Schizosaccharomyces pombe: one gene and its partners. The protein of the gene in region 1 interacts with the protein of each later gene in a biochemical or structural test. Each region holds a gene or a part of one and is shown in the gene's direction. Other genes may lie near its edges.

Region 1 (4,749 bases):
GCTGAGGCTCAATAAATGTTTTCTCTAGTTTTTTAAAATAAAAATACCATTGTTTGGGTAGTGAAAATTGATTATAGTAGTTGTTTATTTTTCAAATTAAATTTTTAGACTGTAGACTTTGTAATCATTAGTAGAGTAACTCCGTCTATATTCTTGTACATTTTTCGGTATTATTTGTTTTCATGCAAATTCCGCGCATATTCTCCATAGCATGACAAAACACAGTGGATCGATTGTACTGAACACCCGCTACAAATAAATTTACAAATGAGAGACAAAATTAATATCATACTTTAAGGAATCAACTACTAAGCTGAAGATGCTGAATACTTGAACTTTTATTTGAGAGTACGAAAATTAGAATCTCAAAGGAGTGAAGAACCAGGCAGACTTTCCGGATTGGTACTTCTCTTCGAAAGTCTTTTTGACAGTCTTTCTAGCAGCTGAGCGTTGAGTGGGCTCCTTGAAGGTGTCAGCAGTGATAAGGCCCTTAAGGTTGTCGAGTTCAAGAGCATAACGAGTAGGCATCAAGTGGTTGTAGTTGACAACCTTGATAAAAGGCTTGACTCTAGAACGCCTAGCAATGCGCTTGGCACCCATAGATTTGGTGACCTTTAAAGGGTAGCGCTCGACACCAGCAACGACGGCGTGTCCAAAGGGATGGGACTTTGAGCCTTGGTCGATGGCTTGAAGGATTACAACCTTCTTACCCGCAAAACGGCCTCTTGTGATAAGAGCAACCTATTTTGAAATGTTAGTAAAGCGTACTACTTAGTAAATCATACCTTTCCTGGCTTGAGAATCTTCACCATTGTTGTGTTGTAGGACAATCATAGGTGGACGATTTCTCGACAGCACGAAACTTTGTGACTGCTTTTAATATGTTTGCGCAATGTAGGCAGCACTGCGATGAACCCGATTAAAAAGAGTTTCGTAAATCAATATTCAGTAACAATAACAACACTTTCTTATTCTATTTACCGAATATAGCGAAGCTTCAAAATTCAGCCCTCTCTAATACAATAAATATTGGATGTTTAGTTCTCACTGATACATTGATAGAAATAAAGTCATTTATGTTTATTTTAAAGAGAAAATAAATTTCTGAGAATACTTATACTTGCATATGGAAAGGCCGTATTAACAGAGTTCGGTACCGATATGGGATTCTTAAAACACTAGAAATACTATAATAAGGAGGTTTTATCTACATAATTACATACATACTTTGCTTGAGCGAAAACAGCTTCTATATTTTAACCAATAAATCTTGAATATTAAACAAAATAACTTAAATTATTTCATAGATTTTTTAACAATATCTGGAACTAGCTTCTCAATATCCTAGTCCGTTTGCTCCGTAGCTTTCGAAAACTCAAAGCGCTCAACGAAGTTGAGAATGAGCATCGTCCTTTCCACAACTTCAAGTTAATTTGTTTTTCTGTTTTCCTTACTTGAATAGTTGATATTTACCATGGTACGTATTTTAGTTTTAAAAAATTTAATTAACTAGGTTCCTCAAGGTGCTTGTGAAGTTTAAGCGTGAAAAGTTAACTGTTATGCTAGAAGTTCAACCAGGCCTGTCCGTTTACGATGCAGTAAAGCTTTTAAAAAGCGCGCTTAACTTACCTCCAGATTCGATTCTAAGAATTGGATCTTTTGAGCAAAATGACTGGGTAGCAATGGAAAATGATGCACTTTCAAAAACCATCATCACTAATAACACTGAATATGCATTTGCAGAAGGAGAAGAACCACTACTAGTGGAAAAGCCTAAAGATTATGATGATATGTCTGAAGAGATTTCCCCTTAAAACACACTTCATTCATCAGCTATCTATCAATTGGCATACATGTTTCCACACTCAAAGTGTTATAAAAACTATTTATTAACCTGAGACTACCAGATAGTGCTAGTATTATTTCGATAATATTTCTTCTGCTCTTTGTTACAATCACCAAAAGACATGTTTCCCAAGCTATGGAATACTTTTAATCCCGAATCGTCATTCGAACAAAAATAATACATTTTTTCTGATCATATTTTCGAGAATTTTAATCCATTTCATTTATTTGCTAGTATGGATTCATTTTACGAAGTAGAACGTATCCTAAAATGCTAATAAACGAGCACGTACGAGAACGCTATCATTTTCTTCGTGTCTCTCTTACAAGAGTCGCACATCTTGTCTTTGCTAACAGTCATGAAAGCAATGACTTAAAAATGGTTGAAAACGTATCTTCAACGCCTAAAAAAGGAGTTCTTGAAGATCCTTCTACATTAACACCAGAAGTTGTTACTCCTCGAACACCAGGACATCGAATTATAAAAGCTAAGGGTGCATATACCAAAGACCGTTCAGCTAAAAGGCGGCGAGGTAGAATTGAGATTGAAAGGCATTTATTGGGAGAATTTGATGATAATGTTGGTTCGAATTCACTACTTGATGTTCCGCTCTATTCTTTAGAGGCCGAACCTCTTTCACCATCTGTGATGCTTGAGGATGAAAGCATGGAAGGAATTAATCAATCTCCCCAAGGTATTTCCGTGGAGAAGCTAGGAAAAGAAGATAACAGAAGTCGTTCTTCCACACCTGCCTCGCCATCTCTTGAAAGCCATGAGTTTTCTGAAAGTAGAGAAGCCGGCTTATCTCAATCAAACGGCTTTGAAGCGAGGAGTCATGGCACGGGGTTTGATGAATACTTTGATAAATTTTCTCAGCGAAAAACTTCGAGCAACACTTTATCTCAGTTGCCTGTTTTGGATAATCAAGTATACCTAGATACTGTAAAGGAAATCTGTACTGAAACCGAGCAGCACACTCAAACTCTAGTTCATTTTCAGTCTCGTAATTTTCATCAATGGTATTTTGAACTTGTGAATAATTTTAATTTACTGTTTTACGGGTTTGGTTCTAAAGAGCATTTTCTATCTTCTTTTGTTGAAAAAAAACTTCCTTGTTTCCCCATTTTTGTCGTAAAAGGCTACTTCCCTCAGTTACAGTTAAAAAATGTTCTTTCATCCTTTCTTGAATTTTTAGAGGTCACACCTGCTGCGTCTGTATCTGATATGTTAATTCAATCTTTGAGTATTATCAATTCTCCCTCTTTTTCGTTAGGAAAAATCGTGTTTCTGGTTCATAATATCGATGGTGAAAGTCTAATTGACGAACGATTTCAATCTGCTTTGGCGGCCATAGCTTCTTCAAAAAATGTGTATTTCATTGCTTCTGTGGATCATGTAAATTTTGCACTTTTATGGGATACATCTCTAGAGTCTTCGTTTAATTTTGTCATGCACGATGCGACTACCTTTGCACGGTATTATAATGAGACTACATATGAAAATTCTTTAGGTATCGGAAGAGCGAATGTGTCTAATAAAGAGAAAGCTATAAAGCACGTTCTCTATTCTTTGCCCGCCAATTCTCGCGGTATATTTAAGTTCCTTCTAATTCACCAACTCGAACGCATGATGGATACTCAAGATTTTGATGCCCGCCAAGGTGAAAAAGTCGGTATTGAATATCGTTCTTTCTTTCAAAAATGTAGCGCTGAATTCCTTTGCAGTAATGAACCCAATTTTCGAAGTCAACTCACAGAATTTTTTGACCATAACATTATCGAATCAAAAAGAGATGTATCAAATTCTGAGATTTTATGGGTACCATATCCCAAAAATCTCCTTGAAATTTTGTTGGAGGATATGATGGAAGACGTATAAAATAGGACCCTTTTAGACTAGGTTACGGAACATTAGAGTATAATTTATGTATTTCTTTGTAAATAGATATTTCACGATCCATAATAATAATTGTTTGTTAAAAATTTACTATTTTTTTTTATCAATTATGCACATTGGTGCAATTGTATGTAGTATTTCGAAAGCAATTCATTATCGATATTTAACATAGTAATTGAATACAGTATAGTTTTAGGATTTCACATCTTATATCTAACCATCTCTAATAATCCTAGTATCAGCATTGTAAATACTTAAATTCAAAGAACAAGAACCATATATCGTTCTTCATGAAGCTAGTACAATCTCAATCATTTGTAATTACAGTAATCTGTTCACCAAACGAACAGAATCTTTAAATAATATTGATTTCATCCCTCTAAATCCGAAGTCGCTTTTTGTAAATACGCGTTTACAAAGACAACGAGTTTAAAAACAATGACCATTTATAAGTATACCTAAATGAAAAACAACTGGTTTGAGTCAAATATTACCAAAACCAAACTTTAAAAAAATAACACAGAAATTATCAAAGGTTGTTTGTAAAAATAATTAAAAAAAAACAATTAGGAGTCGCTAGCCTCAGCATGCAAAGCTGTGATAAAAAGCTTAGATAAAAATGATGGGAAATTTTAAATTAACAATGTGGGATAAAGCGGGATAAAGAAGGCATATTAACAGCAATCGGTAAATTTATGATTTAGCAAAGGGTAACGGATGGTCCACAAGATACTGTTTGCAAAGTAATTTCTGTTCCTTAAGTTCAGCAACAAATTCAAGCAAACCATTAAACTCCCATCTACCAAATAGCAATCCAATACAGAAACCATTGACTACTGCTGCGATGGTAAGCATTACCGTGAAGAAAAGGATGATAACCTTTAACCAAGCGGGATCACACCATGCGATGGCAACATGTACTCCTATAATTAAGGGAATAGAAATAAGTAGATGAGCAATTCGAAGTCTCATATGAAGACGTTCACGAGCCATGTATTGATATGTAA
Region 2 (6,283 bases), 760 kb from region 1:
AGCTTTCAACTGAATAAGCAAAAAAAAATTCTTATTGTCATCAATGGACTTCCTTTTTTGGAATATGACTCGTCCTTCAACGAATGTTTTTGGTATTGAACAATGCTAGTCTTCGGTGCATACTTCTTCTCTCATCTATATTCAAAATTATCATTCAATTAAGCACATTTTTTTTCTTTCTCAAGCCATTAGAATGTTATGCAAATCATCCATTTTACAAACCAACATTAGCATGGGTCACAAAAGTCACATTGTGAGCAACAGAACATTTCTATTCATATAAAGCATTTCCTTGCTTATTAAAAACGTTTGAACCTCTTTTGTTTTGCTAAGAGTACCTTGCCTATTCCTCAGAACATATTGGATTTCAGCACGAAGAAGCATCTGGTCTGTTCAAATCCTTAACACTACTCCCACTACTTGCTTTTTCCTCGAAAACCACGCATAAATATTTAGTCATTATCCATTATTAACAATTATCATTTTTAAGGATTTTTAATCGTTTAAATTCTTGGTAATTTACTGATGGTAAAATGTCTATGCGATTAACTTTCAAGGGAGACAAAAAGATGTAAGATAAAATGAAATAACTGCTCGAATGTGGTAATTCATATTATATTGTTCATCACTAACAAGAAATCAGTCAAAAGAAGAAAAAAAAGAACACAAAATCACTTCAATCTTCTCTAGAATCAGCTGAAAACGATCCTTTTTGGACGGACGCAAACGAGCTAAATGAGCTTGAGGGTCCAGCGGTTATATAGTAAGCTTAACTTCAATATTCTTATACCTTTTTTTCTAATTTACTTACAACTTTATGTAGTAAAATAGACGATGATGCTGGTGTATCTCTTGGAATTGAAGAAGTTAAAGAAAGTTGCGTTCTTCTTCCCCTCGACAAAGTTTCGCTAGAGCCAGAATTGACGCGCCAGGTGTTTTTGTTATCCATACTGAACAATACTATACTATTGAAAAGCTGTTTAGGTAAATACATGTCATGTAGTAAGTCTGGAGACTTGTATTGTACGCAAGAGGCGGTAGGATCACAGGAACAATGGATAGCGGAGAATCTGGGCTCAGGATTTTGGGCTTGGAAAAGTGTATCAACGAAAAAATATTTAACATTAAGTAGAGAAAAACAAGATCAGGCCATTGCATGTGTCTCTGACACTGTCATTCCTGAAGCCAAATGGAGAATTCGAGTACAAACTCGTTTCCTAAAGAAAAACAAGTCTTCTTTATTTGACAACCCAACCATACATTCCAGACAATTAGAATCTATGTAAGTTATGCTATTCTATTTTATTGGGGTTTCCCTTCTACTTTCGTCATTCTAACTTTGTAATTTTACAGGGCTGGAAGAAAACTTTCTACCGATGAAAAAAAGACCCTCAAAAAAGCGTTTAAGGAAGGAGTTCTTCATGAAGCATTACTAGATTTACGAGTATCTTCAAGGAGCGACAAATATGGTTAATTTTTCGGATATTCTTGATAAACCATTAATATCTTGACTTACTGATTAATGTACGATTACCTGCTGGACCAAAGCTAGCAAAAACAGATTTGATTTTTTCTCTTGAATTTTAGGCACCTTGTATAGCTATTGAGACTCCTTTCAGCTATTCACTACTTTTATGTATGAATTTACAAAGCTTTATGGTAATTACTCATTTCAAAAGTGAAGTGTTTTACTTCATTCCTTAATTTTAACGAACTATTTTTTTTTAATAAAAAATGAATATTTAATGAATCTGTTGAAATTCATTCCCTTCATACATGTATGGTTTTACAAATAAATGCAACAAGTAAATAATTATAGTCATCAGCATCGCTTGAAAAAGATTAAAATAGTTTTAGATTATTACTACTATTACCTAGTCATTATTTCAGCTTCAAAAATATATTTCTATACTGGCCCTGTCCTTAAGGCTGTACGCCAATCTTACTGCTCACCTTTACCAAGAATCGAAGTAACACCCTGCATCTGTCAAGTCAAGAGGAAATTGAAAAAAATAATTAGAAAAGAGACCAATTAATTGCATTTGTTAATAAAAAGGCTAAATTTAGAGGATCATTATTTTTACAGTGTATAAAAACCATAGGGATGTGCATCTTCAAGTTTTTAATATGAGCTCATCCCCATTCACAAATCTTGGGAATTTGGACACAGAAGCAATCTATGAAAATAAGGAAAATGAATACCAGACAAACATAACTAATGAGACCTCAAATGTTCAAAATTTATCAAGTGGTAATGATGATCAGCAGTATCCCAATTCTACGAATGATGATGCAAATAATGGATTAACTGCCTCTCAAGCAAAATTGCAAGATATTGCCGCTGTCACTTTATTTCAGGATAATAATATTTCAACTACGACTTTAGCTCCGCCTTCACCTTCACCTTTGCGTCTCAATGAAGCTCCTCGCAGACGTGGAAGACCTCGAAAATATCCACCAAAACCAATTGACGAAGGATCGGAGCCTATAATCAAACGGAAGCGTGGCAGACCTCCAAAAATAAAAAGTTCTTCTCCTTCCACAAAACTAGATGATCCCTTAAAGCCTAAAAGAGGTAGAGGACGTCCTCGTTTACATCCTCTCCCAGTAGTGCAACCGTCTGTAGATGAGGGAACAACTCAAAATAATCTACAGATGGGGTTAGATGAGCCGAATATCATAGAAGGTTTTGCCGAAGGGCATGCCAATTTAAGTGAGCTGAAGCCAAAGAGAGGGCGTGGACGACCTCGAAAAATAAAACCAGAAGAAGGGAGCTCAAGTCAAAATGGGCTTTCTCCTTTGGTAGTATTACCTGCGAAAAGAGGGCGCGGGCGTCCACCTTTACATCGATCTGAACAGAAGATTGCAAATACTCCAATTTCGAATAATGTAACGGTTGAATCGACAGGTACAAATCTACATACTCATTCACAGTTGAATCCAGAAAATGAACAATCTTCTTCTGAATTCTATTCATTGAATCCACAATCTGAAATACGGAAGGAAGTTGTAGTCACAGATCAACCTTTATTTTCTACTGCAGACGTCCCAGTAAAGCGGAAACGTGGACGACCTCCTTTAAATAAGCCCAAGATACTTTTTGGGACAAGTACTGAAAATAAAATAGATGAAAATAGACCCAAACGAGGTAGAGGAAGACCTCGCCTTGAAAGACCGAGTGGCTTGCCTTTAGATTCAAAATCACAATCCCTTTTTAAAAGAAAGCGTGGTAGACCTCCAAAAATAGCTAGTGGAATTGTACCTTTAAGCGCCTTTACTAGAAAACATGAGGATATGCTTCATGACTCAGACGCGTTGTCACTTAAACATTTTGCTATTACATCTCCTAATAATCAACAGTTCCTTAATAATCAACAGCGAGAATCAGCTCCGTTGCTTCCTAGAAAACGTGGACGACCACCGAAAAAGCGTCAAGAGAATGCGGAAATTCGTAATATCACACCTGGTTTAACCGATTCCTCTGTTCACTCCTCTTCAGCAACTCCGCAATCCGAATCTTCATCACCCAATTCAGTTTCTCCACTACTTCCTTCATCTGACAGATTACCCCTTCTTCGACAATCTCAATTTACACCTCCTCCCAAAAAACCTAATTTCGAAGTTGCTATTATTTCTCCTAAAAAGAGTCAGCATAAACTTTATCCTAATCCTGTCGTTGAGTCTGTATTTAATGACGTCCCATATTCTGAAATTGACTCACAGTTACATACTATTAAATCTACGATTGCTGCAAGGTTGTGTGGGAAAAGCCATATCCCTCTTGTAGGACATATGGATGAACAGACAAAGCTTTATCAATGGGTCCGACAAACTATAGTACTTGGCGAAGGTAATTCTGTCATTATTGTCGGTCCACGGGGTTCTGGAAAATCAGTTCTCGTGGATGATATACTATCACGCGCAGCTCAGGAAATAAATGAAAAAAGTTATGTCGTAAGATTGAATGGTACGTACCAGACAGATGACAAACTAGCTTTGCGTGAAATATCGCGACAATTATCTATTGAACTTGAATCTATCGAGTCTGATGAAGCATTAAAATCAGAAATGAACTTTTCTGATACACTTACAAAATTGTTAGCTACATTGTCTCATCCCGTGGATTTGGGAATTGCAGAAGACGTAATGACAACGTCTGCAGCCGTGATATTTGTTTTAGAAGAGTTTGACCTGTTTGTTCAGCATTCACGGCAAATGCTCTTGTATAACTTGTTTGACATTGCTCAATCGAGGAAAGCCCCGATACTGATCATAGGCTTGACTACTCGCTATGATTGTTCTGAATCACTTGAAAAGCGAGTAAAAAGTAGGTTTAGTCACATGGTAATTCCCATGCGACCACCTTCTTCGCTTAGTGAATTTGAGCAAATTTTAAAATCTGTTTTGTATGTTTCTGACGAAGGCGGAAAAGACCAAATAATAACATGCTGGAACCAGAGAGTGGATGAATTGCTTTCCGATACACGAAGTCACTTACATAAATTGGTACAACATCACTATTTTGCAAGCAGAAATTTAAAATTATTGTATGTTGATTTATTATTTCCCATACTTTCCATGGCACCTGATCGTCCATTACTTGCTGATGAAGACTTCGCCAATATCAGTCTCAAAGTTTCTGACCATAAGGTTGAACTTGTAAAGAATTTAAGTTTGTTGGAGTTGGCTTTATTGATTTGTGCAGTTCGCTTTGAAGCTAGGGATATTCCAGCTTGCAACTTTAATAGTGCTTATCAAGAATATCGACAACTGCATCAATCTTCCGTTATAAATGCCGCAGCATCGGGAGCTCTAGCTCATAGCAGTCGATTATGGGGAAGGGATGTTGCTTTGGAAGCATGGGAAACTTTAGGGTCTATAGGATTGATTATACCGGTTCACCCTTCTACTAATGTTAGTGGTGCCCTTTCTAGACAATGCCAACTATGGCAGCCAGAAGTGGATATCAATGTAGTTTCTGTAGGTTTGCGTGAACATCGACGTTTGCCATCGCATTATTACCGCTGGCTTAAGGAGGTTATATAAAAGAATTGCAATTTTTTTTGTTTCTGTTGTATTTTATTAACTTTGTATCCTTTTTAAATAAAACAATATAAGAAAGGCAAAAATAAGGACGACCGTGTTGAAGGTTATATACCATTACACATTGTAGTTATTACCGATATTTGATAAATAAAAGTTTTAATTTTAATTGATTAAATATTTGCTTCTGATAAACGAAAATAGAATTTACTTTTTTGCTATCAGCGCTGGTTAAGCTGTGAAAGAAGCTGGTCTCCAAATATTTATATTAGATGACTTATGAAGGTAAATCAGTAATCAACGGATCAATGAATACCTAAACATTTTAATGATAGTTTTTGTTTCAGGGTCACTTTGTACTAATGTAGAAAAAAAATTTTGGCGGAATATTTCATGAAAGGTGGTAAGAAAAACAAAATAAATTAGATTAAACGAAAGGACTCATCAGTGGTACTTTTAAGCCCAAAAAAAAGTGATAGCACATAAGGAATTCACGCAGTTTAACTAACTTAAAGATATGTCATAAAAGTTTAAAAAAAGCATCACAATAACAAGATTCTCATTATAAAATCAAAAACAAACTAATATTCAATAAACTGCTAATTGAATATGAATTTAACCAATTTATCTTTTAAACGAAACACTAGCCTTAACGAAAGCAGGAAAAAACAGCCTGCACTCGTTGTAGGCACCGTACAGTATTGAAACAATTTTGAATTGAAGCTGAGATAACCGTCACCTTTATAAAACATTGGAAATAAAACTGAGTGTTAAGAAAACCGGAAATTTATTGAGAAAAGTTAGAGGGCTAGCTCCGAGGAAGCATCGTAAAGTGTATTTTTCCAGCTTTTGAGCTGAGAATGTAGAGATATAAGTTCATCTTGGAGCTTGTTTAAATTAGGATTATTAGTATCATTATTATCATAATATGAAGAGACTTTTAAATATAAATTCTTATAACGCGGATAAGTTTCCCGAAATCTTTTTGCCAATGCTCGCATTTCTTCTGTAGTGTAACGTTGTTGACGACGCTTTTTAGCTATCCATGCATCTTGTTCATTCTTCTTGGGAGAGTTTGCATTGGGTTCAAGAGTGCCGTTGGTAGAAGACGAAGACGTAGGAAACGGGGTGGAAGGCAAGGATTGCGGAGGAGAACGACTTTTTCGTTTGATATGTGGAGATGAAAGATTGGAGCAAGTAGTGGAAGAGCCAGGTGAAGGAATGTCGGAGATAGGAGTAT
Region 3 (4,762 bases), 1.8 Mb from region 1:
GTATGGATTTAGCTATTTGTTGTAATCTAACCTTTTGTTTAGTCACATCTATTTTACTACTACTTCATCAATTCCATACTGGCTTACTGTTTCGTAAAATTGCTGAGTTACCAAAAACAGAGCAAGCAATTTTGAAAAGTGAACGTACTCAGTACTTAGAATATTTCAGAAAAAAGAATCCTTCCTTCGAAAAAGTATCGGAACTTCTATACTTTCTAAACATATCGACGTTCCCCATCGAGCTTGTAATTTCTAAATACAATCCATCAAGACAGTATGATTCTGTCCTATTCTTGGAATCAGTCAAGTACGGAAATCTACTTTTCGATTAAAATTGTTAACAAATATTAGATTTTTACTTCGGGTTCACATTATGTGGACTACTGGAGGTGATCTTCCGCTCTCTAATCCTGTATTGCAGCGCGATTTCAATGTAAAGACTTTCATTCATCTTCACAAGAAATACTCTAATTCAGGAAGTGCTGTTGTGTTAAAAAACTCCAAGAAAGTTGTTCCCAGACTTAATACAGTCAATTCATCGCTTGACTTCTTGCAAAACCGAACTCCACGTCTTTCTTCAATTCTACCAGATGAGATTTTTACAAAAAGACTTCCCAATCTACGGATTTTTTCTAATTTTATTAAAGTTTGTCGTCCGCTTATCTATATGTTGTTTATGTGGCATTGGAAAAGAAAGCAAAAATCGAGTTCTCTTAAAGTTCGACCTTGGGGGCCTTGGATTGTAGCGTTTGTTTTTGAAGTTATTTCTCAATTAATTGATCGAAGATGTGAATCAGCGACTTCTAGTCGCCAGGGGTTTGGACTAGAACGCCGGACAAATCAAAGTCAGTTTCAGCATTTTGTGGTTTGGGCGTTTACTCAAGGACGATTTTATGATGAGTTTACCAAGTATGTAATTTATTTGAAAGGTTTTTATAACAAAATGTCGTTTTTCAACTCACTAACTAATTTAGACACTGGATAAATCGTTCCCTAAGCTGGGTTAATTCAATACCCGTTTTTGGTAAATATCTACTTCTTTCAGTTGAGGAAAGACAAAAAAGTCTCGAAAATTATATATCCTCTGGTATGATATTGATATTTTTACTGCTACTAACCTTTCATTCAGTTAGAAACTATTAAGGAAGCCTTGATGACCAGAACCTATAGAAATCCTTTTCTTATTTATTTAACTCGGTGTTTTTCTCTCTCTTGATTTCAGTATTGTTAGTATTTCATTTATCTACTACGTCTTTTGTTGCTTTGATGATTAGTCTTCATTCTTCTATAAAACTCAGTACACTTTTATCGAAAATAAAGCAAAAGCTTCAACATTGCATGCTACGAAGATTAGCAACGTTATCCATACATGAGTCAATCAGTATCTGAAATCTGCGGTGCAGATATGTAAGGTTTAAATAAGACTTTAAATTTCACAACTAAAGAATGCTGTGTTAAATTCAGACAAAGGAAAAGATGTAATACACTGAAATTCGGATATTATGATGAGTTCATATCAATTACTAAAAAATGCATTTTGATTTTTTTAATAACATACTTAAAACAGTTAACGGCTAGATTACAAATTAAATCTAAGCAATATTTAATTCTACGTACTCCGCACTAGGCCATTTATTCAAAAATAATTTTGGCTATGCATTAGCGGTGAAGAAGTTAGTATTGAAAGTGAATTAGCTAGGAGAAAGAAAACTTCTAATAACTCAAGCGAAACGAACTTCTGTTCTTTACTACTATTAATCAAATATATTACAAAAAATAAAATTTTATAATTCTATTTTAGAATAACTGTTTAAGCACATTTTGTTACGACAAGGCTTCTCAATAAAATACACCTTGAACCAAGTACAACGCTTATAGTAAACAATCAATTAAGATTTCAATAATTCCAAAGTTTAAATTGTATTTGAAATGTACGAATATTATTCTTCGTTTTCCATTAATTACCTTTCGTTTATTTGTATAAATTAGTCCACTAGTTTTTGCTTCGAGCGATGAATGTTTCACTGCACGACACCATATGCCAAAGCATAAGCATATTGCCATGAAATGCATTTGTATCAGTTGGAAGACGAATTAAAAAAGAATGTCTTTTGCAGGGAAGATCAAATAAAGAAACTTTCATGTTTACTTTTTAATAAGGATTGTCGTGTTCCAAGCATTGTGCTTTACGGAGTTGCTAGTACAGCAAAGACTTTTTTATTGCGGACCGCTTTTGATTTGTCAAAAGAAGAAAATGTTTGGATTAATTTGCAAGACTGTTTTACAGTCGCTCATTTCTGGTACCGGATCCTTATAAAAGTCGGTGTTGACAAAGATATAGCATTAAAAAAAGGCATTAATATCAGTGGATTTATTTATTTACTGGAACAGGCAATGTCCAAAAGGGACTATCATACATTTTTGGTACTTAGTTCCTCTCCTATTTTATTACTCTTAAATACTAATATGAGTTATAGGTGCTGGATCAAATAGATGATTTCGCTGAGGCTTCTACTATTCTATTCTCACAATTAGCTCAGCTTCCGATTGTTGTAAGTAAATATTTACAGACCCACTGATTAACTATTTTAGGCAAACATTCCCAATCTGTCAATCATTTTTGTACTTCATTCTCACCCTGCTCAATACTTGGGAACATTGTCTATTGCAGTGATTTTTTTCCCACAATATACCCAAGCGGAAATATTAGAGATATGCCAAAAAACACCTCCTAATTTAGATTTTTTGGATAGATCTGGCGATAGTGTTTTTGAAGACGAAATTGAGCTCAGCGTCTGGATGCAATATTGCTCGTTTCTTTGGAGTGTTTTTGGAGTGCAGTGCTTAAATGACTATAGGTCTTTTCGTAGTGTTTTGGATAGATATTGGCCAAAGTTCATTCAACCTATAGTTGAAGGAGACATACATCCTGCTGATTATGCTCAACTTCACAAGCTGGCTAAAAACTTTTTAGTGTCAGATGCTACGGTTACTAAAAGACTTCACATAATCAACCCGACTGAAATAAAAAATCTTCTTGATTCCAAATCTATTAACTTGTCGCTCGTTTCCAAATATTTACTCGTTTCTGCATTCCTAGCATCTTATAATCCAAGCCGGTTAGACGCCCAATTTTTTTCATTTTCTAAAACTTCGAAACGACGTGGAAGAAAACGTAAACAAATTCAAGATGAAGGGGTTTTATTTTCCAAAATACCAAGAACCGCTGGGAGCAAAGGCCGGTCTGCTGTAAAAATATCCCAACTTACATTAGGACCTAAACCTTTTGAAGTAGAAAGGTTGATTGCTATTTATTATGCCATTTCTTCCCCGGTAGAGAAAGTTCTGACCGCTGATGTTTTTGTTCAAATAGCTACACTCGCCTCCTTAAAAATGATACTTTCGGCTTCCAAAGGTGTGCTTCGCTCTTTGGATAGCCCTAGATACATTGTCAATGTCTCTCGCGAATATGTATTAAAAATCGCAGATTCACTTTCGTTTCCTCTCGATAGTTATTTGGCGGGATAGCTTAGTATTATGGTTTATTTTATTGCATTACTGAAATTTTGAATATCGTAGTTCTGTCACAATTCATTAATTTATACAGAACTATATGAACATCCATTCTATCTCCCCATAACATGTTATTTTACTGTTTAAAGGGCCCAAAACTTAAAAAACATATTTTTTTTTGTTACTTCTGGAAAATAAAAGAAAATGTACACTACAAACAATTCGATTACGCCTCTGTGATTCTGTGTAAACTGTTACGTATTTAACATTATGGAAGTTGGCAAAGCTGTAAAAAGCAAAAACTAGCGCCGAAAACACTCTTGACAAAAAAATAAAGTAATGTGCTGCTAAGATGGATACATAATATATATCAAGAGGCAAAGTTTCAATCATAACTCTGATATAAAAGTTAACCCTCTGAAAGAGCTACTCTGCTGCCGTGTAAATCAACAACGGGAGACAATTCATTAATAAGAACATATGTATAAAGAAAAGCGTCCGTCAGTTAACGTCAAAACATAAGTAAAAGTATATTTTTAATGGTTAATAAGAAATCATTGGAGATTTAACCAAAATCTTATCCATTTAAAGATGATTAAAAATAAGTATCAAAACCCGTTCATGAAATATGGAATGTTAGAGGTAACAGTAAAAGATGAAATAAAACGGAGGTTCAAATGAGAAAAAGAAAAAAGGGTGTTTCAAATCATCAAATATTTAGCATCACCGACGTTGTGTATCTACACTAGCTTTGCTATGGCTACGATGGCTGCTTGTGCTTCCTCGACGTCCATGTCTAAGCGAAGGAGCACTATGGGGAGCGGGTGGAAGAGTGCCTTTCATGTGAGCATATAAAACAGATATGATATCAGTTAAGCTAACAACGCCCAACAATTGATTGACCTTAACACCACCCATGGATCCAGGGGAAAGATGTGCGTTATTTTTTGGGGAAGGAGGGCAGGAAGGTGACTGCACAAGCCAAAGACGATGACATTGGGTAGCCACCAACTTAGCCAACGTAAAAGCAAAAGTAGAGGATTCATAGATGTTAAAAGCAGGAGCACTATCCTTACCAGCGCGGATACCCTGTTCGCTTTTAATGACACTCAAAAAGTGAGCACATGATTTGTTTAACAAATAGACAGAAGAAGAACGTGTAACGTATTTAACATCAACGAGAGATATGTTGCCAAGTAACCGGAATTGAGCATCGACAACAGCAAGTGAACCAATACCGGTTTGATTC
Region 4 (3,992 bases), 190 kb from region 1:
TCCAACCTGATGCGTTTGAACATTTGCTTAATCAAGCAGGACTAGTGCTTGAATACAGTATCGAACCTCAAGTAAATAACTCTGAGTACAAGAATTTTGCCAAACGAACAATGTATATCTATAAAAAAAAAGGAATTGGAATCATAAAACTATTAACTTCTACTTAATTGTCTAGTAAAACGTTAAGAATAGACAATGACTGGAACTATAAAGCATAATGTCCCAAAAGGACGTGTCTCATTTTTTATTAAATTCTCTAATTCAACATATGAGGAAAGAAAGAAAAGCGGAATGAAGTAGTTTTATTATTAGATTTGGCCTTTAATATCAACCACAGCATGCTTTTTCATGCATTTTTCGAATCTATCCGTGCTTTCTTTCATCAGTATGCGATTGGGATCTTTTGAATCGTATACAGCATTACAACTCCTAAAAAAGTTTACACAATCTTCCATTTCTTCAAATGCTAGTGTGTTAGCCAAAAATTCCATTGTAAGAGAAGGGCGATATGCTTTGCACATCATTATCATCGCCTGCACTCGTTCTCTCTCAATAAAAAGATCCATCAAATAACCTCCCATGTTGGGAGCGACTAAATATAGATGGAAAAATTTATAGTAATCGCCAGTAGCCATCGCCGAACGGACTTCTAATGCATGTGTAACAGCAGCGTTTGTTTTGTCTTCTTCTTTTAGATTGGCGAGAAGGCTATTCATTTCTATAAATTGTTAATAATTTGAATTCAAAAGATATATTCTTTTAAGCAGTAAGCCGTAATTAACTTACCAGATCGATTTTTAGTGAAGAGCATATACAGAATACGATATGCTAAAAATTCCTTAGTATTCCCTGGTATACCAAAACTGTAAAGATGAAATAATTGAGTTTGACATTGGTTATACTCGCCAACATCACCCTAGTCGAACGTTAGAAGAAGAAATGATATTTTAAAGTAATTAACCGTACCTTTTCAAGAGCTATACGAGCATGTATTTCGTAAACTAATACAGAAAACTCATTTTGAATCCTTTGCACAGTTAAATCCTGTCTTAAACTTTTAAATTGATCGCATATATATGCATAGTTTTTCTCTTCTTTCCATTTCTTCTTTAAAAGTTCGAGAGTTTGCTTAAGAACTGGAAGGGGTCGAACAGTATCCGGATCAGGAGCCGAAGTTAATCGCAAATACCTTTTCTCTAATTCTGTGGACCGTCCTATAATAGCACCATTCTCCGGGTTGACTTTTAGCTCTTCAGATTTAGCGTTATTTTGAGAACGAGAACCATTTTCAAACCTTCTTCTTCTTTTTTCTTTCTTATCCACTTCATCTTCTTCACTTAAAAGTGAAAATTGATTTCCAGAAACAGGCTTCTCAACCTTTCTTTTTTTATCTTCGATGATTGTATTTTGAGCATTTGTCAGTTTCCTTAGGGATTCTAAATTCATAGAAGACCAATCAACATTCCATATGTTTCCCATTTCGTATTGACGAGAAATTAGCAATTTTACTTCATCCTCTAATTCTGGCTGGCTGTTTTCCTCAGCGTCTTGGATGCATCTACCAATAAATTCTTTCAAAGAGTCCGGCCAAGGGCTATGATGTTCTTTTTTCATATTTAATATTTTTCATTGAGCTATATGATTAATGCTAAAGTTAAGTACTTTTCTCAACTTCCTCAATTGCTAAAGTGGTGAGTACCGAGATTGTATGAGAAGTGCGAGTCCGTCAGCTTAACCCTGTCAGTAACGTTGTAAGTCGATTTCATTATCCAACCTTTCAATCAATAAGGATTAATTTATTACTATTCAGTTGATCGTTCATCATTTTTTCCTTTAAAAATTTAAAAAGTCATCAAATAATTCAACGGTTCCACCTAAACTTGTTTGTTCGCTTAAAATTTATGAAACCAACATGGAAAGTAGTTAATATTAACTCACGCTATTCACGCATATTTTATTCTGTATGCCTCATATAGCCTTGATTAAACTACTAAAAGAGAGTAATATACCGAATTATCAAGCCTAAAACACTACCTCCCAATAAAGCAATCGTAATTCATTATTAAATAAAAAAAAATTTGAAGACTGCTTCGAAAGTTTTGTAGTAATATCTTGAAGAATGTAGGTCTAAATTCTAAGCTTTTGGTGACATTATTTAAGATAACTAGCAACCGGAATGATTAAGCAAGAGTCATATTAAATAAGTACGGAATATAAACACCAAATTCAGTGGTGCATCAAGTAGATAGATTTTATATTTTTGAAACAGCTGGTAGTATTAGCAGCATTAAAAACATCGTTTAAATGTCTCTGTATTAAACACCATATTGACATAAAACAAACTAAGCGTTCACCACTATTATGATATTATGAATGATTACATGATTTCAATAATTAATAATCAAAATTAAATGATAAAAGTTTTATTAAATATATTCATTTTCTCATGGAGCGACAACAGATTATAGAGTCTTTACGCAGAATAATTCCCACTGAAAGTACAGAATATAATGAACGGCTTATTAGTTTAGGAGAGTCATTTTTGGAATGGTCCAAATATAAACATAATCTAAAGGCGACAGAAGAGTTATGCCGTCCTTATATGGCAGCGCACTTAGCTTGTGAACTGTAAGTAACTTCTGATGTTTAATTACTCTACTTGAACTTGTTCTGACTCTTTAAAAAGATTATCCAATGATTTAAATTTGGAAATAAATTTACTAGCGACTCCAATTCCAAAAAAGAAATACTATAAACTTTTCACTTACTTTCAAGAAATCTTATCTCCATTAACTAAATCCTTAGCAGCTAAAGATGATCTGATGGAAACCATTACTTATCTTTGTACCAAACTAGGGGGCTCAACTGCTATACCTTATGTTAAACAATTGGTGAAAGCCGTTGTTACAAACGACATGCGCATCGAACACAAAAGAGGCATCATAATCGCAGCTTATTTACTAGTATCGGCAAAAGCTTTTGGAAAAGACGAACTTCATATAAATCACACCGAGAGAAGAAAGGCACAGAGTGTTTTACAGGATACAAGTTCTGCATTGCAAATTCAGTATTGGATGCATGTCCTCTCAGAAAGTTGGCAGTATAAAGAAATCCCTTTAAATGGTATAGAGGGTTATGAATCTCAAAAGCAACGGATAAAACCTTGGAGTGGGATAGCAAGCATGATTCAAATAGATTACGAAAAACGACTTCAAAATTATCCAATATGGAAGGCCTGCATTGAAGAAAGAATCCAATATTACAAAAGCCAGCTTGAAAAAGATGGTACTGCTTCATGAATACAATTTACTATATTAATTTTTTTTTGTACATTAAACAACATTTATAAACGGGTACACGATATCTTTAGTGATATATACAAATACATGAGTAAAAAAAAGTTAAATTAGACTCTAAGCTTTACTAATAGACCACTCCAAATTTGTAATAGACACTTCTGAAGAGGCATTTTCATCATAGTCATACCAATCATCCTCTAATACTATTTCGTCAAAAAGTGTATTACTTTCAGCACCATTAGCTATCCATTCTCCCTGAGGAATGAATTCGACTAGTTCACATCCTCTGCATTCCAATACGAGAACTTTTTTCGTCTCTTGAGAATCATTGTAAGGAGAGAATGGCCCCTCTATAACGAAAGAGCAAGTTTTGCGACAATTTTTGCACGTCCATATGAGATTAGCCTCGCCCTTGCTGCCAGGTATGCTGTGAGTCTCGCTGCGGGAGATTTCAATGGCATTGTCGTGAATCTCTCGACAACCACTACATTGGACTTTAAAAGCATAATAGAAGGATTCTTCATCCTTGGGAGCTAAATTTTTCACACCAGTCAACTCAGCGTTTAAGTTAAGAGCAAATTTTCCCATATTGCGAAAGAAACTCTAGGAATGCAGCTTAACAAGCCGTTATATGTAATAAATTGAAAGAACAAGAAGATAGTAGAGTATGGGTATGTTGTTCGAAACGAATCT

What was found.
Region 2: the proteins of orc2 (region 1) and orc4 form a complex in vitro, tested with the Schizosaccharomyces pombe proteins (5 studies listed by BioGRID).
Region 3: the proteins of orc2 (region 1) and orc5 form a complex in vitro, tested with the Schizosaccharomyces pombe proteins (4 studies listed by BioGRID).
Region 4: the proteins of orc2 (region 1) and orc6 form a complex in vitro, tested with the Schizosaccharomyces pombe proteins (3 studies listed by BioGRID).

What each region holds. Positions count from the first base shown.
Region 1 is NC_003423.3:2,779,842-2,784,590, forward strand, and holds orc2 (origin recognition complex subunit Orc2), read left to right. Parts: upstream 1-2,194; 5' UTR 2,195-2,224; coding exon 2,225-3,724; 3' UTR 3,725-3,835; downstream 3,836-4,749. Other genes in the region: rps001 (40S ribosomal protein uS2), read left to right, coding at 1-15; rpl2701 (60S ribosomal protein L27), read right to left, coding at 358-741, 786-812; SPOM_SPBC685.08 (uncharacterized protein), read left to right, coding at 1,475-1,477, 1,524-1,814; inositol phosphosphingolipid phospholipase C Css1, read right to left, coding at 4,436-4,749.
Region 2 is NC_003423.3:2,023,416-2,029,698, forward strand, and holds orc4 (origin recognition complex subunit Orc4), read left to right. Parts: upstream 1-1,972; 5' UTR 1,973-2,127; coding exon 2,128-5,046; 3' UTR 5,047-5,261; downstream 5,262-6,283. Other genes in the region: FRG1 family mRNA-processing protein, read left to right, coding at 534-571, 644-763, 824-1,282, 1,354-1,474; RNA polymerase II transcription elongation factor Ell1, read right to left, coding at 5,844-6,283. UniProt on the Schizosaccharomyces pombe protein: Component of the origin recognition complex (ORC) that binds origins of replication. It has a role in both chromosomal replication and mating type transcriptional silencing.
Region 3 is NC_003423.3:951,582-956,343, reverse strand, and holds orc5 (origin recognition complex subunit Orc5), read left to right. Parts: upstream 1-2,026; 5' UTR 2,027-2,067; coding exon 2,068-2,424; exon of another isoform or gene 2,425-2,477; coding exon 2,478-2,552; exon of another isoform or gene 2,553-2,592; coding exon 2,593-3,528; 3' UTR 3,529-4,010; downstream 4,011-4,762. Other genes in the region: Pex16 family peroxisome import protein, read left to right, coding at 43-307, 352-909, 975-1,087, 1,130-1,143; protein sds23, read right to left, coding at 4,237-4,762. UniProt on the Schizosaccharomyces pombe protein: Component of the origin recognition complex (ORC) that binds origins of replication. It has a role in both chromosomal replication and mating type transcriptional silencing.
Region 4 is NC_003423.3:2,964,909-2,968,900, forward strand, and holds orc6 (origin recognition complex subunit Orc6), read left to right. Parts: upstream 1-2,344; 5' UTR 2,345-2,446; coding exon 2,447-2,628; exon of another isoform or gene 2,629-2,685; intron 2,686-2,686; coding exon 2,687-3,299; 3' UTR 3,300-3,354; downstream 3,355-3,992. Other genes in the region: bmc1 (Bin3 family regulator), read left to right, coding at 1-167; iss9 (nuclear export factor), read right to left, coding at 309-718, 787-916, 967-1,614; protein ess1, read right to left, coding at 3,414-3,887. UniProt on the Schizosaccharomyces pombe protein: Component of the origin recognition complex (ORC) that binds origins of replication. It has a role in both chromosomal replication and mating type transcriptional silencing.